4 linked regions of the Oryzias latipes genome follow. The protein of the gene in region 1 purifies or fractionates together with the protein of each later gene. This does not show direct contact. Links are inferred from orthologs where the notes say so. Each region holds a gene or a part of one and is shown on either strand. Other genes may lie near its edges.

The links.
Region 2: the proteins of epidermal growth factor receptor substrate 15-like 1 (region 1) and ap2s1 purify together in Homo sapiens (affinity purification with mass spectrometry; 4 studies listed by BioGRID and IntAct, counting the BioPlex papers as one, with this or other methods). This does not show direct contact. The link is inferred for Oryzias latipes from reciprocal best matches to the Homo sapiens genes EPS15L1 and AP2S1.
Region 3: the proteins of epidermal growth factor receptor substrate 15-like 1 (region 1) and itsn1 purify together in Homo sapiens (affinity purification with mass spectrometry; 4 studies listed by BioGRID and IntAct, with this or other methods). This does not show direct contact. The link is inferred for Oryzias latipes from reciprocal best matches to the Homo sapiens genes EPS15L1 and ITSN1.
Region 4: the proteins of epidermal growth factor receptor substrate 15-like 1 (region 1) and intersectin-2 purify together in Homo sapiens (affinity purification with mass spectrometry; 5 studies listed by BioGRID and IntAct, with this or other methods). This does not show direct contact. The link is inferred for Oryzias latipes from reciprocal best matches to the Homo sapiens genes EPS15L1 and ITSN2.

The regions. Positions count from the first base shown.
Region 1 is NC_019862.2:5,470,482-5,477,788, reverse strand, and holds part of epidermal growth factor receptor substrate 15-like 1, read right to left. Parts: intron 6,243-7,307; coding exon 6,045-6,242; intron 5,236-6,044; coding exon 5,056-5,235; intron 4,978-5,055; coding exon 4,878-4,977; intron 4,707-4,877; coding exon 4,656-4,706; intron 3,717-4,655; coding exon 3,580-3,716; intron 3,418-3,579; coding exon 3,354-3,417; intron 496-3,353; coding exon 356-495; intron 1-355.
Region 2 is NC_019871.2:14,620,373-14,628,291, forward strand, and holds the start of ap2s1 (AP-2 complex subunit sigma), read right to left. Parts: upstream 4,082-7,919; 5' UTR 3,930-4,081; coding exon 3,927-3,929; intron 3,484-3,926; coding exon 3,334-3,483; intron 2,667-3,333; coding exon 2,553-2,666; intron 1,685-2,552; coding exon 1,625-1,684; intron 1,073-1,624; coding exon 971-1,072; 3' UTR 1-970. UniProt on the Homo sapiens protein: Component of the adaptor protein complex 2 (AP-2). Adaptor protein complexes function in protein transport via transport vesicles in different membrane traffic pathways.
Region 3 is NC_019873.2:639,245-646,551, reverse strand, and holds part of itsn1 (intersectin-1), read right to left. Parts: intron 3,272-7,307; coding exon 3,189-3,271; intron 3,116-3,188; coding exon 3,032-3,115; intron 511-3,031; coding exon 446-510; intron 340-445; coding exon 231-339; intron 156-230; coding exon 7-155; 3' UTR 1-6. UniProt on the Homo sapiens protein: Adapter protein that provides a link between the endocytic membrane traffic and the actin assembly machinery. Acts as a guanine nucleotide exchange factor (GEF) for CDC42, and thereby stimulates actin nucleation mediated by WASL and the ARP2/3 complex.
Region 4 is NC_019882.2:14,805,965-14,813,271, reverse strand, and holds the end of intersectin-2, read right to left. Parts: coding exon 7,193-7,307; intron 7,111-7,192; coding exon 7,004-7,110; intron 6,398-7,003; coding exon 6,214-6,397; intron 6,129-6,213; coding exon 6,030-6,128; intron 5,934-6,029; coding exon 5,766-5,933; intron 5,678-5,765; coding exon 5,465-5,677; intron 3,765-5,464; coding exon 3,643-3,764; intron 3,562-3,642; coding exon 3,479-3,561; intron 3,158-3,478; coding exon 3,074-3,157; intron 2,985-3,073; coding exon 2,811-2,984; intron 2,622-2,810; coding exon 2,470-2,621; 3' UTR 1,869-2,469; downstream 1-1,868.

The sequences.
Region 1 (7,307 bases):
AGGCTGTTTCTTTGATTGACAGGTGGATGGATGCAACAAAACCCAACTTTGGCCAAAAGCCCTCTCTCCAGTAAACTTCAGTCATCACGTCTGATTCACTTAAGGCCAATATGAAATCGCTCATGGGGCGCTGTTTACTCATCAGAATTTGCTGCGTGATGTCAAGCATGTGTAGTTATGTATGAACAGCTTACAACAGAGCAGCAGTGAGGATGTGCACGTGTGCAAACTTTCTTTCTTGTCAGCACATGAGAACATAAGCTTGCATATAGAAGCCAAATTCCTTGTATTATGCACGGTTCTCGACCAATAAAGTTGACTCCGTATGCATGAGTGCACGTGTTTGTGAGCACACCTTCTGGTAGTCTGGTAACCAGCCGGCTCGTCCTTCAAAGGGGTCCCTTGGCTTGGACATGTGGCTGAAGTCTGCAAACCCAGTGGAGCTGTTGGTGCTGAAAGAGCCGCTCCCGAATGGATCCAGTGTTTGGAACACGTCTGAAGACAGAAGAAGGTCAGAACTGAAGAACTGAAGGTCACATGGCACAGGTGACAGCACAGCCGTCTTCTGTACTGAACTGACTGGAGGTGGATTCTGGTTTTGTCTCCACTCAGAATTACTCTTACTAACCGTGGCTGCTTATGGTGATAAATTACAGTAGGTGGTGCTGTTTACTCTTTCTGTCAGCAACAATGGTCTGAAAACACAGTCTTTTTTTATTTTATGGTGACATGTTTCATTTGTTCAATTAAATCCATAAGAAATCAGATCACAGTCAATTTTAAATCTGCCTTTTTACAAGCAGCCCCTGAATTCTCTAGCGCCACATTTTTAGCAAACACTCAGGATTACGGGCTGGATAGACACGTTTGTCACCATGTTTTAAGATTAGTTGTCACAATCTAAAAGGTTTTATACTCTCTATTTATTTGGGATTGATGGATCCAAGGAGCTGATGTTTTCTGTCCTGTTTTGCTCACACAGAACAGCCACACAGTTTTCGGGTCCAGGAAAGGTGTGTGCACACCTGTGGGAGCAGGTGTCACAGCCCCAGCGGGGTGTGTGTCTGTCTTGTGCATTTTCTATGCTGTTCATGTTTGCTGGAGGTCTTGGTTGGGATGGAGACAAAGCTCTTCTGGGCAGATTTTCAGGAATCTTAACATTTTTATTCCAACTTTTTTTACTGAGTTTTTAAAACACATCAACAAACAGAGCATATTTTCAAAAGGTAAGTGACAATACAGCTCTGTGTTTCCCCATATCCCTCCCATCCCGGACACAGAACATTCCCATATCCAGGTCATGCGTATACACAATCTTTCACACACATGCACACATACACACAGGACATAATATCTCCCTACACATATACAAGCACACACAGACACACACAAAAAAAGAGAAAAGAATAAGAAAAAAAGGGGGGGGTTATTTGTATGAATATTGAATTGAGATGCTTACATCTGAACGGAGAACAAAACAAAATGATGATTAGACACTGAGAGAAAAAAAAAGGGCAATGATAAAAATTGTGTGCGGGGGGGGGTCAGTCAGTTTCTGCCTCTGGGAGTAATGTTAGTGTATCTGTCAGTAATAAAAACAGATGCCATGTCTCTTTAAACTTACTTAGAGATCCTTTGAGTGAGAACCTCAGCTTTTCAAGTTTCAGTTTATATAGCACCTCCTTCACCCAATAGTCATGTGAGGGGGGGGGGGGGGGGGGGTCAGAGAGCTTCCACCTAAGCAGAATCAATCGTCTGGCCATCAAGGTAGTGAATGCCAGAGCACGTGTACAAGGTCCAGAGAGATTCAAATCAACCGCAAAACCAAAGATAGCGGACACTGGATTAGGCTGCAGCGCTATTCCATATGCCGGGCTGAGCGTTTTAAAAACATGTGTCCAGAAAATTCTTACTTTGGAACAGGCCCAAAACATATAGGAATGGTTGGCTGGCGAGTGTCCACAACGGTTGAACTTATCAGAGACGGACGTGTAAATTCTGGATAGTTTTGCATTTGTGTAATGTCAAATACTTTGCACTGGATCAAGGCATGTCGGGCACAGGTAGAGGACGAATGTATTAACTTTAAGGCTGTGTCCCATTGTTGTTCAGATAAAGTCACCTGTAATTCCTCCTCCCAGGTGGTTTTCATGAAGGAAAAATTGAACTACAGACTATTGTATCATTCCCTCCAGTTAGAACTGGAATACAAAAAATCTGCTGTGGTTCCACCTCCAGTAAGGTATCTAAAAAAGTTTCGGGGGGGGGGGGGTGTTAGGGTAATGAGGGAATTGTTTCTTCACAAAATCTCATGCCTACAGGAAACGGAAAAAATGTGAGTTAGGCAACCTATACCTGGCTGAAAGATTAACAAAGGTTGGGAAGATATTATTGGCATATAGGTCCTTGACTTTGTTAAGTTCTTTGCTATGCCAGGGAATCTTAACAATTTTAAAGCTGAGTACAGCAAACATTTGGGATCTTTTCTCCATAATGTGCAGGAACATCACTCTTCATCCACCATTTTTACGCATTCATCATAACACATCTAAAGATTAGGCTTAAGCCTCAACTCACAGTTTGGGTGTACAGTGTTCCCCGAGTTATTGAGGGGGTTACGTTCTAAAAAACCCCACAATGGTTGAAATCCGCAAAGTAGGATTCCAGATGTTTTAAGGCTGCAAAACTCCTCACTAAAAAAAGTTATGCACTTTTGTCAAACACACCAAACACTTGTTTAAACTCTCAAAGTTCAAACCTTCATGGAAAAATCTGTCCAGTGTCACGGAATAAAAAAAGCAAAGATCTGATGGGAATAGATGTAAATGTGGAAAACTGCATTCTGCCCAGGAGAGACGGCACAGAGATGATTGACAAGGTCAACAGCCAATCCGGATGAAGAACACAATATGTTGTACAAAAAAAGCATGCTAAATCTGAGAAACAGCGAAAGGTGAACGGCGACACAGTGAGGGAACGTTGTGTTTACCGAATTAGAATTTACACTGCCAGAGGGCCGATAATCTTCTCCACGTTATTTATCAAATTTAAAGTTAGGGCGTGATGAACCCTGAGGTTCTCTGACATTTCAACTGTTTGCAGAGTTAGATCAAAAATCCACAGTGGGGCATCTTTTGTGGTTTGTCTGTAGGTCAGCCTGCAGGGTGGGGCAAACCCCCAAAATATGCCACTGTTTTCATGCCCTCAAAGGTTTTTCTAGGTTGTTTTCTTAAGGAAGGAATTGAGATAGTTTCAATTTATAATATATTTCCACAAACCTGATAAATGCTGCTTTATTTTTATATACATACTTATTAGGTAAAATAAAAGTGTGGTTGATGAACAGAACCTACCAGGCCCTCTGGACCTCTGGTGGCCGGAAGAAAACGGGTCGGCGGCTGCGAGCTGAGTGGTTTGCTGCAGGGAACACAAACAAATGGTGGTCAGTGTCACATTTAGTGGGGGGTCATGCAGGCCCACCTGTGCTCGTCTGCCAAGAGTCACGAGAACTCTGCCCGAGTCCGAAAAAACTCTGCAAGCTCTTTTTCAGAACCAGTCCAGTCAGTTTCCTACACGTACCTTGGAGGGTAAGGTGGCACTTTTGCTGAAGGGGTCAGGTGTGGAGAAAGGGTCCACCTTTGTGGTTTTTTTGAAGAAGTCTTCAGATGACGCCTTGAAGGGATCGGGATCTTTAAACGGGTCTCCTCCAAATGGATCTGCAGCAAGAGCAGCTTTGGTTACAGAGGGTTCTGCTCTCAGCTCGGGTCTGTCAGAGGTTGATGTTGTCAGCCTGCTCACAGGAGGACCTCCTCCTGCTGTAGTTACATAAAAATGTCCTAAACTTCTGGACAGAGTGAGGATGAACTACTGGGTTACAAAGCAGATGAACCTTCAATGTGAGTTCACCACCCTCACCAGGTGAGCCTCCTCATACATCAGATGATTAACGCCTCATTTCCACTGCTCTGTTTCTGGCGGGTCTCCTTTGCGTTGCGTGGGAAATCAGTGCTGACGACTATCAAGACTGTTAGTTTACATCGTCTCCATTGCGTCTCCGGTCCGTCCATCCTCTCCCCCTGGCTTTTGGAGGAGTGGTTTGTCCTGTCACCCCTGTATTGAGTGGTTCGTCCCGCTCTCATCACCTGTGGCTGTCCTCACTGAGTCCTTGTAAAATGCATATTTTGTGTCAGAAATGAGGTTGTGTTTCTGTACTTCCAGAATTAAACTTGTCACCCAAGGCGAAACCGGATGATGGTGTGTTATCCACATCTGTTAACGTGTGTTACTGTGTGGGCACCTTCAAGACAAAATCAAATTTGATAGTTTTATTTTGAAAGTACAATGGAAGATTTTATTCTGAAACCCGAACCGGTTTTCTGTTTCTCCGGCTATTTGCTGCAAAATCGACACATCAGCGGCCTGGAAGTAGCACTCCTCCATAAAGCTTGCATTGAGGAGGGACGGACACCAGACGCAGACATGGCGGAGGTGATGTAAACATTGCAATTAACGAATAAACGATCTATTTTGTGTGTTAACATAACGCAACAGAGACGCACCGCAGGCGGACCAGTGGAAATCAGGCTCAACTGTGCTGCAGGACTGACAGGCATCAGATTTGAACCTCACACAGCGCGTTGGCTTCAGGGAAATACCTGCAGATGAGGACGGCTGCTTTGCAAAAGGATCATTTTGAAATGGGTCCCCTAAAAGAGAGGAATGGGGAGGGGGGCAGTCAACAAATAGGTAGCAGAGAGAAGATCAAAGCTATGGGGGAGAAAAGTTGCAGAGCGCAGAGCGGCAACAGGCAGGTGAGAGGAGGGAACAAAAAAAGCCCACAGGACAGCAACAGCAAGACGTGCGAGGGGGTGGGTGACCTTTGAAGGGATCTGTTTTGAAGGGGTCCTCAGAGTGGAAGGGGTCTGGAAGCTCCTGAGTCTGGCTGCTGAATGCAGGCTTCCCTTTGAATGGATCCTCCTGCAGAACAGAAGTGGACCATCAGTGACCTGCTTCCACTCTTTATTCTGGATCAGAACTCCGGCCTAGCCCCCTGACCTGTGGCAGCCTCCCGATGGCTGGGAAGCCCCCGCTATCCCTGTCGCTGAAGGCCTCGCTCATGTCGGCCAGGTTGGTCATGCTGCCTCCATGCGCCCCGTTCAGGCTGCTGCTGTACTGCTCGATGCTCCTCGTCACCTCCTGCTGGCTGTCCTGGATCTGGGCCAGTTTGCTGCGGGCCTGCAGGACACACCTCAGCATTTATTTCACTTTCACTGCAGCGGGGGACCAAGAGAAGAAACCTTCTTTTCAATCCCCATGCCCTTCAACTCACGCAGACTTGATCTAGCAGGAGTGGGACGAGTGCTCAGCACCATCAAAACCTCATCAGGGCAGTTACGCTACAGACACAGCGGGCATGTCGAGAACACACAGAACGATGGTTTTTTGAGTGTGCTTTTAGGATTTGGGGTTCACACAGGTTTGTCGCTGCCTGATGCTAGCACATGTAATCGCAGTTGGAAGAGAATTGGTGTAAAATGTTGAAGCGGTGCAAATTCCATGAATCTTGCTCCAGGATTTTTCCTTCACAGCTCTCTTCTGACACATGAAAGACTTGGTGTCATAGAATTCCGGCAGGGCACAAACCGCAATTACCGTATTAATTTCTCCTCATTGATCAAATTTCTAATGGTTGACACTTCCATGTATTGAAAAGGATGTAATCCTTCCGTCAATACCAAATCCAATGACTACCAATTGATCAAAGTTCAACCATGTTTAATTTTCAACACTTGTGGCGATATGTTTTGTACGTAGAGCCCAAAAACAGTCACAGAAACTTGCGTAGCTACGCCTAAATGTGAGATTTGAACATGGGAGCCCAAAATGCGCATGTGGGCATTTTTACAGAGACTTTTCATTGGAAGCAGTCACTCGAATGTGCATTTCGAGCCCGGTGTTAACATTGCTTTAGGCAGGAAACAGGTAGTCTCTGATGTGCAGTAGCGCTTCCTGCTGACAGCACACTCTCTAAACCTGCGTCTGACCTGGTTGATCTCGTCCTGGGTGGCCTTGAGGGACTTGATGATGGTTTCTAGCTGGATCTTCCCGGCAGCCAAGCTCTGCTCCAGCTGGTTCTCCTCTTGCTGCAGGCGGTTCAGGTCGGTCTTGGCCCGGCTCAGCTCCTCCTCCTGGGACAGCAGGTCTGACTCCTGGCAGTGGATCTGGCTCTGCAGGGTGGAGATCTGCAGGACACAGATAGGTGTGAGGGTGGTGTCCACACAGAACTGCTGTCCTGACTAAACAGAAGTTCAGACGTGAGCCCAGCTCACGTCTGAACCTCTTTTTGCAGAAAACCTCTTCTACCTTTAGGTTCTCAGACCAATCAGACCCATTAGCTGAGACAGCTGAGCTGTCTTCTTTGTGGGGAGGATAAGGAAAAACAATCTGAAAACTCCATGTGTTTCCAGATTCCAAGGGCTAAGACACATTTTCTTTAAAAAATAAAAGCGTTTATTTTTAGAGCAAAAACAGCTTAGAACTCTTTACCACTAATTTTAATGGAAAAACATTGTGCAAGCAAGCACACACGTCCACCCCCCCCCCCCTTTTATATATAAAATAACGGGTGTAGGAATACCAACAGCTGTTTTGTTTTTTCCCAGTGATCCACACGGACCCGGTGCTCAATTGCTCTCAAACTGGCAAAAACTGAGTTGTCAATGTCTGCATCTTCTGCAGCAATGATCAAGCTGAGCATTTCAAAAACGACTCAAAACAGCGTCTGCCGACAGACTGTCTCCATTTGATCAGCTAATGTCAGCAAAGCCGTGCGGATGTCGCTGAAATAGATCTTCTTTGTAGCACGCCACAGAGCGGGACTCTAGGAATACGAGTCGATTTCTAGGGATTAGCCAATGAGCGTTTAGATCCCACCCACTTTCAATGATTGACAGACAGACTCATTCTGCTGAAAAAGCTCATCATGAAATAAAAAAGTCATTCTGAAAGACAGCAGTGTGAAATAAAAACAAAGCTACTTTGGAAAATATTGATTTTGAAATCAAAGTTTCTGTAAAAAAAAAAAACAGTTATAATATTCAACATGATAAAAAATGAATCTTTTAAAATGCTGTTTTAAAATAATGAACAGGTTTTTAAAGCAAAAATGAAATATATTTAATAATATTATGGCTAATTTAAAATCTGTGTGCAGATTTTTCACAATTTCATGATTTTATTATATATTTATAAGAGATTTATTGGTTGATTGTGTGATTGCACTAGGGGTGTAACGATGCGCTAAAATC
Region 2 (7,919 bases), on another chromosome or scaffold:
TCTATCAAATGCCAGGTGGGTACATAGTTCAATATTGTCTTCATGAAAAACCCAAAGTCTAACATGTGAAGCAACTAAAGGTAAAAATATGGGATTTCACCAGAAATGATAGTCCAAAGGGACAGTACTTTAAATGCACATATGACACTGTTGGAATGTATTAATCTCAAATGAGTTTATATTTTTGAAGATTAATCTTCGTGACCAATCATTTCACAATACTCACAGACAACACTGTTTACACAGATCACACAAAGCAAACCCAAAGTAGTGCTTCACATAAAACCCGCCTGTTTGTTCCGGATCGTTTTAAATGTTAACAGTGACCAAAGAGCACCGTTTTGATTGACAATCCTGCATTGTACCACCCTCTTACAAGCTCTGGCATCAGTCACACACATCTGCATATGTAAGCATTACACATGAACACAAGAGAACTATAAATGCCACCTAAAGACATTATTTTGGATAAACAGGCTACTTCAATCAGAGATAAGGTAAAGGGAAGGTGGGCCTGGCCTGAGTTTATGGGGCTTCTAAATTCTAGTGCCGCTAAAGAATTGCTTTGTTTAATGTGGGAATGAGAAGACTGCCGTCACAGTTGCTTCTGACAAATGCCATAAATGAAAAGATAACTGTGGAGAAGAACTCATTTCTGCAGCCTTTGGCTGTAGAAAAGCAAAAAAAAAACTCAAAGAAACTTGAAATGCTGACACGTTGAAATGTAGTGAAAGACGTCTTTTAAAACGATTCAGAAGGTTAGATAAAAAACTGCAGGGAAAAAAAAAAAAACGGCTGATTGGATATCTAAAAGTGGATGTTGTGTAGTCCTCGTCCACATGCCTGTTGTCACTTGGCATGTTGAAAAACTAGAGGATTTGTATATGAAGTGACATTACACATCAAAGTATTTGTATTTATATATATTTTTTGGATGTCCGGTGGGCAAGAAGGACAGAGGATTTTGTTTTTACTCAAGTGACTGAAGCATGAGAAGCTGCTTAAGGACCTTGGTCTGACTGGTCTCCCTGATCTCTCCTGCCAGGAACATCTCGTCCACTACTGTGTACACCTTGGAGGGGAAAAAACATAACAGACAAGGTCAGAAATGAGAAAGAAAAAAAAAAGGAAAAACCAAGAGTTCACGGGAAATTAGGTCACAAACTGAGCAAAATTGCTTCTCTTAAAAAATGCTTCCATTCCAAACTGAAAAACAATCTGTCAGCTTCTTAAAAACAACATTTTTGACATTCAAATGTTCAAAAAAATGTTCAACATAATTGATCCATTAAAGGAATACAGACCAGAATTCATGCTTTGAACATTTTAATGTTATAAATGTATCACTTCACAGCTTGTTAGTATCTTGGCAATAATTTGGAAGAACAAAACAGAAGAATAAGTGAATTAACTAACCATAGCAGAATGTTCTGAACAGGGGAACAAGGGAAGTTTGGAAATGTTCATTTAACTGAATTTTCAATCCAGGGGAGTTCATCCAAGTTTTAAACAGATAAAAAGGAAATTCTGTTGACTTGTCCTTCTGTTTATACTTTCTTGTACGAGGCATTTGTAAAATAAGTCAAAAGCAAATGGACAAATGATGATTTTCAAGTGCTCTTACCTTGTAGAAGTTGAAGACCAGGTCCAGCTCGCACACATTGTGGAAATACTCGTTCAGGACCTTTTAGAACACAAAGGAAACATCCTAAGCTTCATTCAGGAATCGGGAAAGACTCATGAGCAACATTTTGGGTCTCAGCTTGTTGAGAGGACAGCACACAGACTAATGAAGTGTCACTACAGACTGTTAAACTCATGGAAGTGACCGTTCTCCTTCTTCAAGCTTTCCAAAGCAACTGAATTAGCACAACACTGTTAATAACATAAATTACCATCAAATCATTGCCCATTAAATCTATTTGTTTGGAAGTTCACTTGAGGATAATTTATCCATTTGCTGATATTCACGTAATTCATTTTTTTTCTACATGTTGCTCACTTTTTGTTTTTAAAATTCAAAACAGATTACATTGTTGTCACAAGGAGATCCCAAACGATATCGTCTTATTAAATCTAAAATGATGTCTTTGGGTAAACTATAACTTTACCCCATGGAAATGGTATCTGTTAATGAATATTTTACAATTAATATAAATGATCTCAAGATAAATGTTGCATGATAAACTTTTAAGGGGTATGGTCGGGTTAAAACAAAACTTCATTTTTTCAATATATTGATTCATCAAATCTATAAACTGATTTTCTTTTGAAGCAACTTTTTTCAAGGGAAAACAAAACATTTTTTCAGCTATTTTTATTTGTAAAGTTTTAGAACAACCTATCCTTCTGAAAGTGTTAATCAAAATCTTACAAAATTGTTTTTAGGCAGAAATATAACATAAAACTGGTTGGAGGAATGATACATCATCAGTTTTTAGGCAAAACCCAGTCCTAGAAAATGATAAGTAAAAGGGAAAAAAAAAGGTCAGACACACGAAACACATTTGACCAGGATAACAAAATGATCAGAGCACATTATGTGTACTCACCTCCACAAAGTTGTGAATTCCCTCAAGGTATGCCAGGTTGTTATCAGTCACGTCCACACAAATGCAGAAGTAAAGCCCAGCATAACGCCGGTAAATGATCTTAAAGTTCCTGAACTGTGGGAACAAAGTGGAATCAGCCTGTTAATAATAGAGTTTCTCATATTATGACAACAGCAGATTTACTGGGGTATAGGCTCCCAGACTTTGAGGCAAAACACACCATGATAATTTTATGTTTATCATAAAAAAAATAAATGTGGTACAAACATATATATTCATCTTTATATCCATATTTAATAAAGAAATGGGAGGATTTGAAGCGGGATGTTTTTTTGCAGCAGCAGAAACAACTTTATTTGCTTATACAGAAACAGGGGAAAAAAATAAAAAATGAGTTAAAAAATCCCCCTGGGGTTTTTGAATAATTAGAGAAAATCTGTTAGCTGCTCCTCAAAACTACAATTATACAAACTCAAATAGAATTTGAGATGTATTTTCAATCACTTTTAGTTTCATATCAGGTAAAAACTTGCTGATTCAACAAAATGTATTTGCTGTGCGTTTGAATAATTTTGAGCTTGATGATGGAAGCATCTTGAGTCATAATTCTAAGTAATTTGCACGTGTTTGCACCAAATCTACTGAAGCATCGGTGAAGGCTGACAATTTAAGCTATATTTTCTTCTTTGAAAAACAGTCATCTACACTAGTTTTATCAAAGAAATCGAGCTAAACGAACACTGAACCACTGCCTGACAACATGAATAGTAAACTTCTTTACCTCCACGAAGTTGGTGTGTTTGGCATCTCTGACTGTAACCACAGCATGTACTTCCTCGATCAGCTTTTGCTTTTCATCATCATCAAACTGCATGTACCATTTGGCCAACCGGGTTTTTCCTGCCCGGTTCTGGATGAGAATGAACCGGATCTTTGGGATTAAAAAGAAAATAAGTAAGCAAGGCATAGCTATTTTTAAATCAAGAAATCAAGAGAAATGCGTAGCAGACGCCACAAATAAAGTGTAGCAGTTAATTCAATTCCAGAGATTAAAACATCCACAAATTTTCGAGGGCTCCCTCCCTGACTTAGTTAGTTAACGTTCTTGGCTAATCTGACAGCGGCGTTACATTAGCATTTGCCTCCCGACAGAAAACTGCGAACAATTTAATTGCTATAGAATTCATAAAATATGAATAATTTCTAAATAGGTTGTATTCCTTGTTTTGTTTTTTTGTTTTCTGAAGTCTAGCAAAGGCTGTCAAGTGACTCATTGAACGGCATATCGGTACGAATCCCACCAATGCTAGCAATTCAATGTTGAAAGACTATGGGTGGAAAAAACAAAACATGGAGGAAAAAAGGCGACGTTACCATATTCGTCTCCTTAGCAGAACCTTTGGTGACAACAATATCGAGTTCCTGAGTAACAATTTAGTGGTTTTACATTAAAAAGCAGTTATTCGGGCGAGAGCTCGTCGGTTATCTGCACTAGCTAACAGGAAAAAGGAAAGCTTCGTTGATTTGTGGTGCACCATGGGAAATGTGTTTTTAACGGTTGGATAAGAACTCCTGGAATGTACCAGGAAACTACAAACACCAGTGTTCATTTTTTAAGAACTTGTCCAGTTCTCAACAAGTCACATGATTTGCAATGGTTTTTTTATGTATCAGTTTTTCAGTTTTTTTTAACACCTTCTTTCTTTAGCAATGCACACTTTTTTGTGTTAAATATTTACACATTGGCGGGTTTTAGACATGGACATAGCGGTCAATCGACCAAGAGCTCTTGCTGCAAATAAATAAATAAAATAAAATAAAGAAACAAAAAACCAGGTTTTAAAACCGTGTATATTTATTAAAAGGGCAAAGCATTTTTTTTATACATGTCAATCTCTGTTATGGCCTTTTTAACAACCTGTCCAGGATGTACTTTGCCTTCACCCAACAGTAGCTGGGATAGGCTCCAGCAGCCCTGTGACCCTGAAAGCGATACAACTGGTGAAGAAGTAGGATAGAATGATACAATGTTAGGTGCAAATCATGGGGACTTCTAAAATATTTGGAGCTCTCTCCATACCTGTTAGTAGTCAAAAGGATGAGCCAGACAGTTCCTCTTTCATACAGCAGGTGTCTTCAAAATCCCAAATGCCAAAGGGTGTGAATCCAGACTCTTCCAATTTCACTTCCAATTTCATTTCTCCTGAACACAAGTGTGGTGAAAGGAAGGAAACATTTTCTTTTTCCTTTTTTTTGCGGAGGCAGAGGGGGGCGAAAGTCAAGGTAGAACTGCCACAGACACTACAGCAGCCATGGCTACAGACGAAAATAACAAAAGTCTAATTTGTATAGTATTCAATATTGTTTCATAACGAGTTAACTTTGGAATAAAACCCTGGTCTTTTTTATGTATTTGCAATTTAACATATTTTCCTCTTTTATAACTGCAAAGGAGAAATGTGGACTTCCTGATTTAATTTAAATGCTTGGGGAGACTGGGATTATCAGATATTGCACAACTGCAGCAGAAGGAATGTGTTTCCCCAAGGACCCAGCAAAAATTCAGCTGCAAATGTTGAAGAGGTTGAGGTCAGATAGGAAAAAAAACATGTTTATTATAAATAAACTACAATAAAGAGAAGAAAAAAGCCAAAAATCCTTTGTAAAAACTTTTTCTTCTAGTTATTTCTTTCAGCAATGTTTTGGTATATGTGTAAAAAAAACAGCGGAACTCTGTTAATGTTTTGTAAAAAATAAAATATCTTAAATAGCATTGTAATTTATTAGTTCAAGTAGATTGCTTATACTGTGCCTTGTCTGTGTTGAAATAACCGAAAATGGATTTGAAAACAGAAGCAGATCGTTCAACAGAAACTTTGACCCATGTTAATCTTTCTTTGCAGTGGGGTCATGCAAATATTGCTAAAAACATTAAGTGATACGATTGGACAGAAAACCAAATGTGAGCTTTTAACCCAGCTTGAACATGTATTTTTTTGGTGGCATAACTCTCTCAAAATATGTATAAACACTCACTTTATTACAAATTCCCATCCCATGAAAAAACAAGGCAACTCACCCCCTGATAACAGTCATTAAATTTTACATTTGTCTTGTTTTTTCCATTGCAGGGTGGTTAAAATTAAAATAAAGTTTAAGCTTTTACTGTTATTTAAAAAGCAAACTTCAGCTTTAATGTTCTTGTTGTCACAAGTTGAATAGTTTCTCTTCAAACTCAGTCATGTAAAGAATGGTGAGAGGTAAATTCACTGACCTTGTTTTTGCACAACATGACCAATTTGAAAAAGTAACCAAAATATTTTTAATTAATCCTTTTGGATTGAAAATTTTAGTTGGCTTTTAAAGTAGGCCCACTTCATTCCGCTTTCAAATAACAGCCTGCATTTTTGCATCAAATGAAACATTTGTGCTCATCGTACATGTTTAAGTCTGGATTGGGCTGTTGGAAGACGTTGAGGGAGGGGCAGAGTCACAGGGAATTCATTCCGAACAAGGTCCCGCTGCAAAACATTAAACATCTGTTTGAGCTCTTAGCTTGTTGTCTTTACAACAAATCAGACAATTCTTAGTTGTTATACTGTCCTCCTTAGAGACACAACTTAATTATCATTCAGTGGCTGAACTAATCACAATGCAAACATCATCAAATGATTCTCCTAATAGATGACTTTTCAAATCCAATTGAAATGATTCGATTTTACCTTTTTTTTTTTTTTTTTTTAACTTGTCCTGTCCAACAGCTAGGCAAACAGATGAGAGCTGAGGGCCTCTTGTGTTGGACATATTTTATTTTAACAAGAGGGGTTATTCATCTTCAGACAAACCAAAGGTATGTCTGAATAAACCCCTTTTGTAATTGAGGCCAAACTTTATTAATTTCAATCATGTTTGAAAATCTTTGGTGTTGGACCGGACGGAAAAGGAAAGAGGGGAAGAAGAGAGAGGGACGTTAGAGAGAGAGGGGGGTAGGAGGGTGATAATAGGAGGGGAAGGGGGGTAAGACCATGAAGCAGCATAGAGCAGACAGGTTTACTGGTTGTTTATCGTTACGGTACGGTTCAAATGTAGTACAAAAAGGGCGATTTTACCTTTGACGGGACTGTTTTTTTACTTCTTGATTAGACTGATTGGACAAATCAATGTCCAACGTGGTTGTGTTTATTTTTTAACATTTGTGGCCCTGTTTAGTACTCAGAGTTTTTGTTCCTGCTACAAACCCTGCTTGTGTTTCATTCTCTTGTGGCCGCGCTGTTTCCAATTGCTATCACTTTGCTTCTTGGTGTGGTCACTTTGTGTCTTGGAAGATAATTTACGTTTATTTATGACTGCTTTCGTTTTCCTCTCTGTTTCCTTACGATGAAACAAAGGACTTTTCAGACTTTTGTAGACCCAGAAGGTCATTTACACCTCCTCAGAGGTAGACACCAAACTTAAGTGAATAAAAGTTTTTTTTAACTCTCCCTCGACCCTCCAACAGCCTCAGAGTTCAGATGAGAGCCACGTGAGGAGTTCAAAGTTAAAACCTACTCTTTTAGAGGTTATTCCAGTTAAGCAGCATACTGTGACTTTATCTTTACTAGTATTTCATTTGACATTTTGCTTTAAAACTGTCTAGGTTGGCTCCTGAAATGTGCATTGTTTTTTTCCCTCCTGTCTAAACACAAGCAGGGAGCCTCTTGCATTGGACAGATACTATTGTTGAACATGGTGTATGAGTTGTTGAGCCTTTACTTTATATTTATGAGTTATTCAATAATAACTGTTTAATATTTTAAGTTAAATGTGTTACATTTGAATCTTATTTGTTTTTATGTTGATCTGATTTGAAAAGTATTCATTTGTGTCACTGTATTTTTTATATATTGTAAATTTTATGAAGTGCACAAGTTGTTTTTATTTTTTAAGGATAAAATGTACAATTTAAATATGAAAGGTGTGTACTGTACCTGGGTATCACATTTTGACACACTTATTTTGTGTTTCGAGAATAAAAACTGTCTTTTGCCATGTTAGTTTTGCACAGTAAAGTAGTGCAACTTAAATTCAGGTAAATGCTGACACATTTAGCTTGTTTTAGTTTCTGTCCTCTGTGGTAAATGTTGGTTGTTTCACCCCTGTTTGGGACTTGTATTATTATTTTTGGAAAAGTCTACATCTTTGGCTAAATGACACTGATGCCAACCAGGTTAGACTTGTTTCTTTTTTTTCAAAGCTACTATTTGCAACAGCTGTTTTGCTTTACCATTAAAAAAAACCTATGCATATTTCTAATTCAGACTTTTCAGATTTTTTTTAATTGCTTATAAGACAAATCATCTGGTGGGTTTATTTTTTTGTAGTAATGAG
Region 3 (7,307 bases), on another chromosome or scaffold:
TTTGGTTCACGGTTCCTCAAACAGCTGCAGGTCCAGCCTGACCACAATCTCCCCCGTAGGAACCTCATGGAGCAGCAGCCTCTTTGTGATTGGTCCTTTAGAGCCTTGATCCTTCTTTATCTCAGCCAAGCGGATCTCTGTCCTGCCCAGGAAGTCTGTGAGGAGAGGACAGGTGAAAACCCGTAATTCAGGAAGCCATGAAACAGGAATTTAAGTGGACATAAACAGACCGTCGGGCGAGAACTGGTCCCGCTCAAACACAGTGACACACAGGACATCCTGCTCCAGGTCCTTGATGAAAAACTGGCAGTTGGAGTTCCACTTTGGGTTCAGTGTGTCCTGCAAACACAGAAGACTTCTGCTGCACCAAAGCTCACCAGTTCCATTTTTGCACCAGAATTCTTTTAAACAACAGCAGCACCTTCTTGGAGACACTGAGGCTCACCTGTAAGGTCTTTGTAATGTGGCACTGTGACCCCATGGTCACCTCACAGTATGGGTTACTCTTTCCTGGGAATGTAGAGATAAAACATCACTTCAGGGAACCAAGACAAAGGAAACATTGCAACTTAATCAACCTTAATCCATCCTTTACCTATCTCAAGCACATTTATTTGTGTTTTTTTACAAAACTGGACAGAGAAAAGAAGAATGTTTAACAATGACACTTCTGCACCCATTTCTAAGGTGATGCACTTGCAACCCTCAGGATAGTTGGTTGGTAGCAGGAGTCCAGCTGGAGCCCAAACGGACCTGTGGGGGAGGCAGGTGATGGTGATCCTACTGCAGAGGTGTGTTTCTTCATGTGCTGCCATAAGGTAAAAGGCAGACAGAGAGTAAAGGCTCCCCTTAATTAAGCTAGCTCCATCTAAGGAAGTGTAAAATTTCAGACTTAGCCTCTAAGGTTACCATGGTTACCACACTCTAGCATCTCTTCAGTCTAGAAATGAAAGTCAAAGTCAGATAATCTTTAAATCTACTTTAAGCCTTCTTAGTGGTCTTTTTACTCTGATTATGCCATTTAAAAAAAAAACCTTCATTTTTTAGGGTCACAGTTTCTGAAGAGTGGCAGAGTTCATTAGAGATTAGTCTCTGCCTCTCCGGGGTGGGGTCCCGTGGCGGAACGGAGGGCTATCCTCTAGGCTGGGCTGGGTTCTGCACTCTCCGTGCTCTTATTCCTCCCTACTCTGTGGTGTTGGGGGCCGTGGGGCGGTGTCTGGCTGCACTGCCTGGCGGGCGGATTCCCTCTATTTGCTTTACCATATCTGTGTCTGGACCCCTGGCTACCGGTACCGCTTCAGGGGGGGTCTTGGTGTGGGGACGACCGGGCACTCTAACATCTTTTTAGATTCCATCATCCACCTCAGCAGAACACAAACACCCACCTGAGCACAGGTGTCAGCTCACCTTGCATGAATAGTTAGTGTGAAAGAATGACATGCTTCTACCCAAAGAACTGTAGTTGTGTTGAGTACATGTTTACAAGATTGTATTTTTGGTGCCAACAGGTCTTTTTGACCCTTAAATATGTGTGTGGACAGGTCCCACCCCCCGACTAACATTAACACCAGACAGTAATGATGATGATCCTCCAGCACCCCCCCCACCACCACCATGTAATCATCCTCCTGTTATCCTTAACTCCCCCTCCCCCCTCCCCCGTCCATAACATCCCTCCCTTCTTTCCTCTTCTTCTTTTCTGAACAGTCCAATAAAAAAACAATTATTTCTATGTAATTCATATAAATAATGTTTAGCCTAAATTACAAAGGAGGGTCTGCTGCAGCTGGGCATATAGCTGCAATATCTTTTCGCCAGTACAGTTTTTCCTTCGTTTGTCATGCCAGTTATGTTCTAAAAATAACTCATGGAAGGATTACAGATCATTTAAAAATGTGAAAAGATTTCTAAGCTTTTCCTAGACAGGCATAACAATTTTCACACTTCTCTCTCTTGTTTAAACCCTTTAAAAGTTCAAACCTTCACAGAAAATGAAGTCCAGTGTAATAAATAGAATGAAAACAAAGATCTCATTGTGATCAAAGATTTATCTGGAGAGCTGGATGTATTTGCACAGGAGACAACACGGAAGAGCCTGAAATCAAGCAGCATGCACAATCGCACTAAAAGAATGAGAGAGACTGCAGGAAGTGAACTGCCATGTAGAAATGACAGACTGTCCTCTGTTACAGTAGTAGGTTTTAAGGTTGTCATCTGGAATTTGTCAATTTGAAGTGACAAAGCCTTTTGGATAAGAGGTGAAACGTCTTCAACTTTAAAAACTAAGTCCAGATGACAGCCTTTAAACCTACTACTATGATGGAATCCTCCTGGATGAATGAGAGTCTTCATAGACATTCTGTTCTTTTTGACTGGGGGTTTCAGAGAAGGGCCACAGACTGCAGAGGGAAGGAATACAATGTCGTGTCCTATGCGGGTCTTGATCACTGTGCCAGATTGAAGAAAAGAAAAAAATCCCATTTCTGATTTTGTTTACCAGGCCGGGCCAAATGTGGAGGCGGGCTGCATCTAGTGTTGACATCAGGAGAATGTGGCTTAAGTGTTTAGAGAGGTTCATCAATCTAATCCACATGTACTTTGTGGATTTAAAAAAATCATTTGGTCTTGTGATGTTGTGTGGAAAGTGCTTTGGAGAAATAGGGTCTTGGCCTCATTACTGAGGGCCGTCGGATCTTTGTACAACCAGAGCAGGTTCTTGGTTTGTATAACTGGCAGTAAGTCCAACTTGCCCCCTTTGCCCTGTGAGACCCCAGCCCCGTAACGCAAAGACAAATTATGTTCACCTGATGTTACTTCATTAGCTTAGATGTTTCCCAGCTGAACATTTTTATGTTTGTTTTTCATTGCTCTGTCCACCTCTTCTAAGAGTTGCAAGAACATCCCATTTGAAATACAATCATTTACTGCAGAAAAGTGTCAAAATTAAACATTTGTTTATAAAAGTATTCAAAGTTACAATCTCCAAACTCTTTTACAGTTCTAATTGTATGAACACCAAGAGTTTTTGTACCATGAGAGCGGCAGGGTTTGAGCTCGATCCCCTCCACTATGTTGACCATCAGTCTACCAATTCCTGTAGCTCTCTGAGACCGCACTAAAACAGGAGAAACATATGTTAGTTTGCTCATGAAAGGCATTTGAGTAAGTACATGTGAGCTGGACTGTACCTAGATACGCCTTCTCCCTCTTCTTCTTCTCTGTCTCAATGAAGAGCTCTGAAGCTGCCTTGATCTTCTGAACCCAGGCCGTTCTAAAGGGACACAAACAGTCAGTAAACCTCCACAGCGGGTTTCGTCATCATGATCAGTCCCTACAAAAACAGAGGCCAGAAAGAAAACTCATTTCTTTATTTCCATCTCTTTGTGAGGACTTAGCAGTAGTTCCTCTGTGTCATCATAATGTTTGATGGCATGCAGATGCAGGTTTAAAATAACACATTTCAATTGTTTTTTCACTGCTCATACATTGCACAGCTAAAAGAGCTTTACAATGAAATGAGTAGAAGTCACATCGTTTCTAAATCAAACATAAGAAATACCTAAAAACAGCAAATAGAGCAAAATAACAAGGTTTAACTTCATTTACCAAAAATAACCTAAGGTGCAGGTTTGCACCAACCAGCAGAATTCAGACTCACTGCAGTCCCTGCTGAGCTGGACCTTTCAACCTCCCACATTCTCAAAGGATACGTTTATCCGTCAAGCAGCCTGAGGCAGTGACCTCTAACCTTTTTCACATCAGTTTAATGTCAGACAATATTTTCACGTACCGATCCGAACGGGCCCGAAGAATGCTTTTAATAGTTTTAAGCTTCCATTAAATTAAATCAAATTAAAATGAAACTACAAGAAATTTAGTTTAAAATAAATCTGAAAACAGTTGATTAGTTCACTAATGACAAAAATTCAACGAAACCAAAAATTTGTAAAAGTTGTTTGTGATTTGCAAAAAATTTAAATGAAAAACATAAAATAAAGCAGCATTACAATTTTTTCATAGAACACCATTAGAACACTGAGAACTCAACCCAGTGTCAGATCATCTTTTAGGCCAAAAAGATTGAACTTATTTTGTTTTGACATAAATCCTGATTAACCGTGGGTTTTTTAAACACAGAGGAATTCTTTCTGTCTTAAAGTTTCTTAACAGATGGCTGCCTAATTCACCCTAGCTGTTGGAGAATTCATAAATGTCTGTCACACAATTATAAAACAACTTCCACAAATCAGAAACTTTATTTATTGAATCTTCATTCTCTGTCAAATGTTTGCGGCTGATTTAAACTTAGACTTTGTAATGAATATTCTTCCTTTAACGTCAAAGTGAATGCTAGCAACCAGACGCTAACTTCAGCTTCGACCGACTTTTAAGGTGAGATGGACTTAAAATAAAGCGGTATAAAAGGAACAATCCTAGTAAAACTGATATTTTCTGAATATAATAATAACCATGAATGTAATGTTATTATCTGCGAGTGTGAAACATTCAAGAACCAGTCGCCACATTATAGGCGGCAATTGTCTGAATAAATCCGTATGTCGGGGAAGACTCTGGTTTTGTCTGTAAACAGCAGAGTTATTTTTCTTTAAATTTGAAGGTTTTCTTTGGTTTCCACACCGGCTCTTTTCTACCCAAAGAAACTTTCCAAATACATTTTTTTGTTTGGTTTCATTAGCTTTTTAGCTTTGGGCTACTAACTTGGCAGTCCGAGCAGCTGCTAAAAGTCACGTGACGCGTCAAGACAGACGGATTTGGTGAACAGAATCAGGAAAAAATAAACTAAATGGAAATAATCTAAGTTGGTGTATGTATTTTTGGGGACCATTGGCCAAAGTAACAAATAATTGCCTGAGATCACCGGATGAGGCAGCAACCAAACCCTGATGCTCTGCTGGCACAGGAGTATGTGGAGAGGATGACTTCTGCTTAGGAGCAGAAGTGGAAAAATGGCGACTTAATTTCGCTGAAGCTGGAGGCTGGATGTTTTCCATGGGTCACACCAGCTCCGTCCAGTTCCCTGATGCAGTCAATGGTGCCTGCCCAAAAACCAAAGAAGAGTTGCAGCTTCTAATTGTTGCAGATTCCTCCATGGCTCATGGCTTTGGCCGGACTTCCAACACGGCTTAGTACCTTGATGCTCACCTACAGAAACTTGTTGATCTCAAAAAGGCAGATAAAGTGGTTAAAAAAGTTTTCAGTCCGCCACAAATTGTGTAATTTTTCCCTCATAACCCTTGTGCTATCCAAGGCACTTTAACGTTGGGAGTGGGGTCATCTGGGCATGAAATCCTCTTCACCTTTATCCACCTTTGTCATGGTAGGGATAACACGTCAGTGTAAGGGTGGGGTCATTTTGACCCCACAAGGCAGCACAAGAGTTAAAAAGATGGGCCCTGCATGTTTGCTGGTATTTTAGCCCATTCCTTCATGCATTTCTACTCTAAAGCTGTTGCTGGGCAACACTATTTTCAATTCCCTCCACAGCTTTTCAATGGGATTGAAATCTGGAGACTGGCTAGGCCACTGTAGGACTTTAAAATGCTTCTAATCCACCCTTTTGTTGCCTGGGAGATGTTTGGGATCACCGTCATGCTGGATGATCCAGTCTTGTCTGTTCTTTGATGCCTTTGTTTGATGGAAGGAGGTTTTCACTCAAAATCTCACCATGCATGGCCTCCATTCATTCTTTCCTTTACACTGATCAGTCGTTCTGGTCCCTTTGCAGTAAAACAGCTCCAAAGCACGATGGTTCTACCCCCACGCTTTACAGTAGGTATGGTGTTCTTCGAACTCTCCATTTGTCTCTCCTCCAAACACGACAAGTTGAGTTTTTACCAAAAAGTTCTATTTTCATCTGACCATATCACAGTCTTCCAACCCCCTCTGGATCATCCAGATGCTCTCTAGCAAACCCCAGACAGGCCCGGACGTGTGCTGGCTTGAAGGGGACATGTCTGGAATTGGATTGCCTGTTGTTGTGGTGTTTTACTCATAGTCCCCCTATGTGGTTTGGGGATTTTTACACTCCAATTTTTGTTATAATTTTGACCCTGTGGGGTGCAGTCTTGCGTTGAGCCCCAGAAGGAGGGAGATTATCCGTGATCTTCTATTACAGCTGCAGATTCTTCCCAGCCTGGTGCAGCTCTACAATTTTGAATCTGGTGTGCTTTGACAAATCTTGGCCATAGTGGAGTTTGGAGTGTGAAGAGTGGAGGAGAGAGGAACATTTTAAAGAAGTTACTGGTCTGTGAGAGCTAGAAATCTTGCTTGTTTGTATTAGACCAAATACATCTTGCCCAGATGAATTTACTAGTTATTCCATTTAAAAAAAAGACAATGTGATTTCTAGTACCACATACCCCCTTGTTTTGTCTCTAATGGCTGTCATGTGCCTTTGATGAACATTACAGACCTTACTCATCTTTTTCAGGGGGATTATTTTCACACTTGGTAACGGTTTTGTTCCACTGTATTTGAAGTTGGGTTTGATCAAGTACCTGCTGGTCTCAAAAAGCTGAAATCCCATAGACTCCTATAGAGACATAAAAAGCTATTACTCAGTCATTAAAGATTCCTTAACATGCTCTTCCTAATCATCATTTTTTTCAGGATTTTTCCTAACCATCACTAGTTATTCAATTTATAAACTGACCAATCAGATGCCTCAGTAAATATATCTGGTCTCATGTTGAACAGTCAATGTGTTTGACAGAATCTCCCCAGCATGCTTTCACATGGTAGGGATGTGGACTTCCAACAATCTTACTTCGGGTTGGACAGAGTGGTTTCCATAGAAATGACTTAGACCGACTCAGACTAATCACTGCTTACTGATGATAATAGTTTCCGACATGGTGATGTCCGTATTGAAAAAATGGTGAGTGAACTGACTTAGGTAATTTCCCCTTTGTAGAATCGATAAAGTTTTACTCTATCCTCTTCATTTCATTGGAAGCAAGTCATTTTCTATCGCCCAGTTCAGTTCTCCATGCTTCAGAAGGGTCTTGGTGCACTTGTTTGGAGCAGAGTTTGCATGACTGTTCGTTCACACACCATTGGAAATAGGCCGAGGTTTGTTTTAACCAAAGCAAGCGAAGTAGGTGTTTTTATACCTTCAAACTTCAGCTGGTTCAAAATGTTACACCCACTGACTGCATAACTGGACAACCCACGTGTGACATCACCCTTAGAAAATGCCTTGCTTCTGGCTCCTACCAACTTAAGTCAATTCAGTTGCCATTTTTCAATTCAATTCAATTCAATTTTATTTGTATAGCCCAAATTCA
Region 4 (7,307 bases), on another chromosome or scaffold:
GCCCCTGGATTAAAGTCCCTCCTCCGCTTTACTAGGGGGCATCTGAGAAGAGGACCAAGCGTCTTTCCTTTTTTTAGTCTGTTTTGCAAAAAGAACCAGGAGATCCTAGTAGATGTTTTCAACTGGGATTTGTTCCCCAATTAAAAAATTGATTTTATGGTTAAAAATGTGGCTTCAGATCATTTTGCACGCAATTCTGTTTTTTCTCTAAATCTTTTACCCAACATATTGTTTTCATGATCATCAACCTAGTTTTTTTAAGGAAGAAGCCTGTTTTTAAAGAGCATAAATTCAACACTGAATAATAAAGCGGGGAAAAAAATTATGAATATTTGATCTTACCATCTATGAAGCAGAAAATCCAAAGCAGGGCAATGCATGCTGCCAACCAAGTCCACCAATCCATGTAGCCTCCCCCCCGTTCCGTCCTGGACTCTCCAACGAAAGGAAAGAAAGGTGTGAAAAGTCAAGTTATGACCTGGACAAGCCTCGCCCACCTTCCTGCTGTTAATACCCAAACATCATGTTCTCTCTCTCTCCTCAAAGTGTCCAGGCAGACGCCTATAGCGCTCTTCAGCCTCCTGCAGGAGCATTAAGAGCATGGAGGCAGCAACCAGATGGCTCTGCAGGTCACCAGGTTCTTTTTATTTATTTGTGTAGGGAAAAAAATTGTTTTATTTTATTTGCTAAAATTCAAAATTTTAAAGATTTCTTTTACTGTGACGGGAAGGTAAAGCAATAAAACTCATTATTTTTAGGGGGAGTTTGAAGATTGTGTTGAATTTGTAACAAATATGCCTCCCTTTATTCCGTTGCCATGACAACAGTATTGTAAAACAAAGTTGTGCACACACCGCATTTTAGATAATTTAGAATCAAGCTTGCTTTTTTTCTTCACCAAGGTAAGTTAACATTTTCCATGGTGACTTCTATTGTACAGTGAGTCTATCTATGGTACTGAACCTGCAATCTTCTGATCAGAGGTTGACCGCTCTACCTCTGCACCACAGCTGGCCCAAAATCTCTGGTATATTTTTAGATTGATATGAAGAATTATTTTTGTTACATTTTTATTACCTGTGGAGCAAGTCCTTCATAATTTATGGTAGATTTTAAGAAACAGTTTGCAGTATAATATCATTTATTTAATTATATTCTTTATATTACTGTAACTACAGTCTTCTTCACCACCAAGGAATAACAGGCAGTGTGAGGATATTGTGTTCATGACTTTTGATTTTTGTCTGTTGCGGTTAACTTCTTTATCATGCACAATGGTTTATCACATGGTTCCATATTAGCTTAATACTGACTTAAGATTTAGCGAACAGATGAAAATGCATGGAAACAGTTGAAATAAAAGCACCAAATTTAAGTTGTATTGTTTTTTTTTCCATTTAAGTGTTTGGAATTAAAGTTGCAGCCTTTTCTTTAAATCTGGTATTTTTATTTCATTTAAAATGTTGCTATTGATTCATTTTGAAATGCATGTGTGTATATTTTTCTTTTGCTCCAGTAACTAATGACAAACATGAAACTATGCATCTAACATTTGTCCAAAAAAAAGTTAGTCTCTTGTCAGTTTCCCTGTGGGGATGAGTTCTATTCCCATTCTTAAGTGACGTGTTTCAGGACTCCCCGACGATTGACCCCCAAAAGAACAGACACAGTTTGTCTTATTTAAGTTTAAAAAAAGAAAGTTTAAGACCAGAAAACACAAAAGCATCTTTTTTTTAGTATGTGCCATTAAAACAGCAATTAAAAACATCCAGTTCCTGACCAGAGCATTGCCTCAAACAGAACTAGTTCTGTCCCAGCTCCCTCAGTCAGATACAGGTATTACACTCGCATTTATTTAGGAAACAAAGTTAATTTATTTCATTATTTTTTTATTTGTTATGAAACCTTGTGGTTACACCACAAAGTCAATGTGCAAAGTTTACAGACATTCCGACACATTTTCCTTCATTAGCTGTATAGCAAAATCTTTACATCTCTTCCTTTTTCACACACATCTCAAGCTTTAAAGTAAAAGAAATCCAGTGATGAAGTGGAACATTTTAGCAGTCTTCTTAGCATAATATCTGGCCTGAGGTCCAAAAAAAAAAAAAAAAAAAAAAAATTCGAATTCAAAAATCCCTAAAATTTTTATGTCATATTGTGCAAGAGATTGCATAGGCACGTCTTACATTTTTATTTCATAAAAGATTTGCACAGTGATAGCAGTTTGCATAAACAAGCAACATAAAATCTTTAGGTACTCTGATGTACTAAAGCCTAAAATGTCATCAAAAGGTCCAACAGTGTTAAAAAGACAACATGATGCTAACGCCACCATGCTTTAAGGTCTGAAATGTAGTTTTTTGAGTTCATCTGACGATTCCCTGCGTCTGAAACAGTGACTGATGTGCTTATAGATGTTGGACTGCCATTGTTTTGAACTAAGATTGGTGTGAACAGCAACGTTGCTCATCTGCTTGGCTCGTAAAGCTGCAGGTCAAGTTTGACCCACACTTCTCCTGTGGGGACTTCGTGCAGCAGCAGGCGGCGGTTTGCTGCTCCTTTGGTCTCCATGTCTTTCTTTATGGTTGCCACGGGAACCTCAGTGCGACCTAGAAAATCTGAAAAGGAAAGGTTTTTAATTCCACAGTGATACTAATATGAATAAATTCTCAGAATAAAAACTGCTTAAAAATATTAAATAACTTAATTAAAGCATTTTGGGACCAGTGTTGATGCCTGGATTTTGTTTATAAATATATATATATATATATATAAAGCATTAAATACTGTGTTTGTGTGGCACGAACCGTCTGGAGAGAACTGATCTTTTTCAAACACAGTGATACACAGGACATCCTGGTAGAGGTCGTTGATGAAAAACTGGCAGCTGAAGTTCCACTTTGGGTTCGGGGTATCACTGGCCGGACGGGATGTGTAGCACTGAGCCCCCATCGTCAGCTCACAGTAGGGATTACTCTTGCCTGAGGAAAAGAAGAATGTTTTTTTGCTATTGTCCAAAAAAAGCTAAATTAGTTAATTATCTAAAAAAGACAAAGGTGTGTTTTCTCACCATTTGGTTTACAAGCTTTGAGCTCCTGAGCTTCAATGATGGTGACCAGCAGTCGACCGATTCCACTCGTCTTCAGGGAGCGGGCTGCAGATAAACAGAGGTTTGAAACCCACTGAAAACTTCAAAATATGCCAAATTTAAATATATTTGGGAGTGTTCAAATGTTCTTTCAGTCAAATTATATTAAAAAAAAGACATTTTATAAAACACAGTATTTTACAAGCAACTTCAAATATATTTAAAAATTGCAGGTTTAGAAATAGAAAGGGCATTTAAAAAATAACTAAATAAAACTCCCATTAAAAAAAGTATGTGCAACCCTTTAAAGTGTTTTTTCAGGTAAACTTTGCAACTTTACCCCTTCTTCCTAATGGAGTTGAGTATTTGTGGAAAGTTTGGGCTCACCTTGGTATGCTTTCTCTCTCTTTTTCTTTTCTGTCTCTATAAAATGTTCAGATGCTGCTTTTATTTTCTGCACCCACGTTGCCCTGCAGAAAAAGATCAAAAGAAAAACCCCTTTTACAGGTTGCAGCAACCCGGGGATAGTGCATCTGTGCGTGTGTGCATACCTCTCACTCAGAGTTTCGGTTTTGAGCGTGTAGACGCGATCGATGTGCGAGACGTGGAAGACCGGCTCGTCGCTGGATGGATCCGGAGGCATTTTCACTAGAACTTCGTTCAGAAACAATGGCTGAAGAGAAAAAAAAGCTCGTTCTTAAAGAAATACTGAAACTTTTGCACTAAGAACTCTCTCAGTCCCTCTGAGCATATACAGCGGGGAAAATAAGTATTGAACACATCAACAAACAAAAAACATATTTCTAATCGAGCTATTGACATGAAATTTTCACCAGATGTCGGCATCAACCCAAGTAATGCACACATAGAAAGAAATCCAAACATTTATGTGCATGAATGAAGTTATGTGTAATAAAGTGAAATGGCACAGGGAATAAGTATTGAACACGCTTACTGAAATTTATTTAATACTTAATGCAAAAACCTTTGTTGGTGATTACAGCCTCAAGACGCCTCCTGTATGGAGAAACCAGTCGAATACATTGCTCAGGTGTGATTTTGGCCCATTCATCCACACAAACTGCCTTCAAATCTTCAAGGTTCCGGGGGTCTCTTCTGTGAACCCGGATCTTCAGTTCTTTCCAAAGATTTTCAATTGGATTCAAGTCTGGTGATTGACTGGGCCACTCTAGCAGCTTTATTTTCTTTTTCTTCAACCAGTTGAGTGTTACCTTGGCTGTGTGCTTGGGATCGTTGTCTTGCTGAAAGATCCACCCTCTTTTCATCTTCAGCAGATGACAGCAGATTCTGATCAAGAATGTCTCGATACTTTTCTCCAGTCATTATTCCTTCAATGATATGAAGTCGACCAGTATCACATGCTGAAAAACAGCCCCACGCCATGATGCTCCCACCTCCAAACTTGACTGTTGGTATGGTGTTTTGGGGGTGATGTGCGGTGCCATTTTTCCTCCAAACATGTGTCTTATGACATCCGAAGAGTTCAATTTTGGTCTCATCTGACCAGAGTATCTTCTTCCAGAATGTCATGGGTTTATCCAAATGTTGTGTCGCAAACTCCAAACGAGCTTCAACATGCTTCTTCTTCAAAAATGGAGTCTTGCGTGGTGTGCGTGCATGGAGGCCATGGCGGTTGAGTGCATTACTTATTGTTTTCTTTGAAACAACGGTACCTGCTGATTCCAGGTCTTTCTGAAGCTCTCCACGAGTGGTCCTGGGCTGTTGGAGAACCCTTCTGATGATTGTTCTGACTCTTCTGTCTGAAATCTTGCGAGGAGCACCTGGCCGTGGCAGGTTTATGGTAATGCCGTGTTCTTTCCACTTCCGGATGATGGCCCCAATGGTACTCACTGGAACTTTCAGAAGTTTAGAAATGCGCCTGTAACCAATGCCTTCAGTGTGTTTTGCAACAATAAGGTTGCGTAGGTATTTGGACAGCTCTTTGCTTTTACCCATCATGCAATGCTTCTTGTCCAACACCTTGCTGGTGAGAAACCTTTTTAAAAGGCATCAATCAGGACTATACCAGCTGATATTACTTTGCACTAATATGGGGCAGGTTGACCTTTTGAATACGGACAAACTCCAGCTGCTTTCTTGGCTTGCCAGACCTTTTTACCCCTCCTTTTCTTCATGTGTTCAATACTTATTCCCTGTGCCATTTCACTTTATTACACATAACTTCATTTATGGACATAAATGTTTGGATTTCTTTCAATGTGTGCATTACTTGGGTTGATGCCGACATCTGGTTAAAATTTCGTCTCAATAGCTCGATTAGAAATATGTTTTTTGAGAGAAATGTTGACGTGTTCAATACTTATTTTCCCCACTGTATGTCTGTGACCATACCGTTTTGTACATCTTGAGCTGAGCACTGGTTTTGGGGCTGAACAATTTGTCCGATCCCGAGAAAGAGAAATGTTTGGTACTGTGGGTGAGGAGGAGGAAGTCGTTGAAGAGGAAAGCCCAAAGCTCTCGGGTGCCTTTTGTTTTGTAAAGTCGACCGCTGTGGAGCAGCTTGCGTGGCCCCAGGCAGTTAGTTAAAGAGTTAAAGACCAAATTCTGGAAGAAAGATTTTGACAAAATATTACTCGACTGAGGTTTAAGCTGAAATAGCTGATTTGCATCTGACATCTCAGGGTTGGTCTACCTCAATAGGCCCTTCACACTGGATGTGGCTCTGCATCCACTCCAGTCGGTCCGAGTTCTCCTTCTCTCTGACCCCCTCGTTCACCTGAAAGCACAGCTCCTCAGCCCGCTCCAGAGCTTCCCGCAGGGGTCCGTGGTCTGCGTGGCTTTCTGGGGTGTTCTCCAAGATCTGACCCAAATTTAAAGGCAGTTGGCAAAGAGACGCAGCCCAATGAATAGAAAGGCATTCTAAATAACGATGAGATATCTGACCTGTTTTGCTTACATTTTTTATCAGCAGAGGGTAGCGAGTGATTCGTTGCATGGGCTTGAGGAGGAAGCTGGACAGTGGCATTCCTTTGCAGCGGTAGTTAGTGGCTATCTTCTGCTCAGAGGACAGAAAATTAGATTTATAACTTTGCATAGAAACATTTCTATGTGAGGATGAAGTTGGCCCATACGACTCTCACTCGTAGGAAGTCTTTGAAGTCAGGCTGGTTGTTGGTTTTGCTTTGAAGCAGTGCAGCAGCATTGAGTTGGCCGGAGCAGAAGCAGATGTAAGGATGCATCTGCGCGAGCTCCGACGCCAGCACGTCTCCTATCAGCTGAATGGGCATGTTCTCCCCTCCGGTCTTTTTGCGTGCCCGCAAGGCTCTGATGTTCAAAAGTAAGCAATCACAAGCAGGAAAATTTATTACATAAATCCCTTTGTATTGATTTATCTTGAATGCATAGGAAAATTGTGATTTTTGGGACGATGGGGCTTAATGATCTAAAATAATTTGCAGGGAAGATGGGAACTTAATGATAGTTGTTAAATTGCCTGAATTTATGTTTACTTTCTGAGACCAGAGGTCAGCAAATATGAAACAATAATGAAGTGCAACCACTTTATTTTCAATATTTTAGCAGAAAAAGATCAATTGATAGAAATGCTGTACTTATTAAATTATGGCCTCCCCCCTGTAATCCTTCCACTAGTTTAAATGTAAATATAAAAAATTTATTTGTGTAATATTTCAGACTTAAATTCAAAAAGTGAAAGACCTTAAACACAGAAAAAAGTTTAAAGATTAAATTTAAGTGTCAATTTTTAACATTACTGATAATTATATTTTAAACCTATAAAAACAACAGTGAAAAAATACATTTTTATTGATATCAAGTTGTACTTTAATGCACCTATGTCTGCAACTTATTTCCAGTTAGACCGTTATTGTTAAAAAAAACAAAAGGGTATTTTGAAAATATTTGACCTACTTGAGAAATTTATGGTTGCACATAATAAGCTTCCTCCAGTTAACAAAGATGGTGGCCATCTCTGCTTCCGTCAAGCGCCCAGACTCAGACATGGGCTTGTGGAACACCTGAGCGTGCAGAAACGGGTCACGTCAGAGCTTCATGCGCCAGAAAAATGGGAATCACCAAAAAGCAACGATTGGTTTGCACCTCCAAAACCAGTTCCAGATCCTCCACGTAGGTTTCCTCTGTCTGAATGAGCTCATGAATGTAACCCTGCCGCTTCCTCTCTTGAGGGGTCATGGTGTCCAGAGTCATCAGGTCT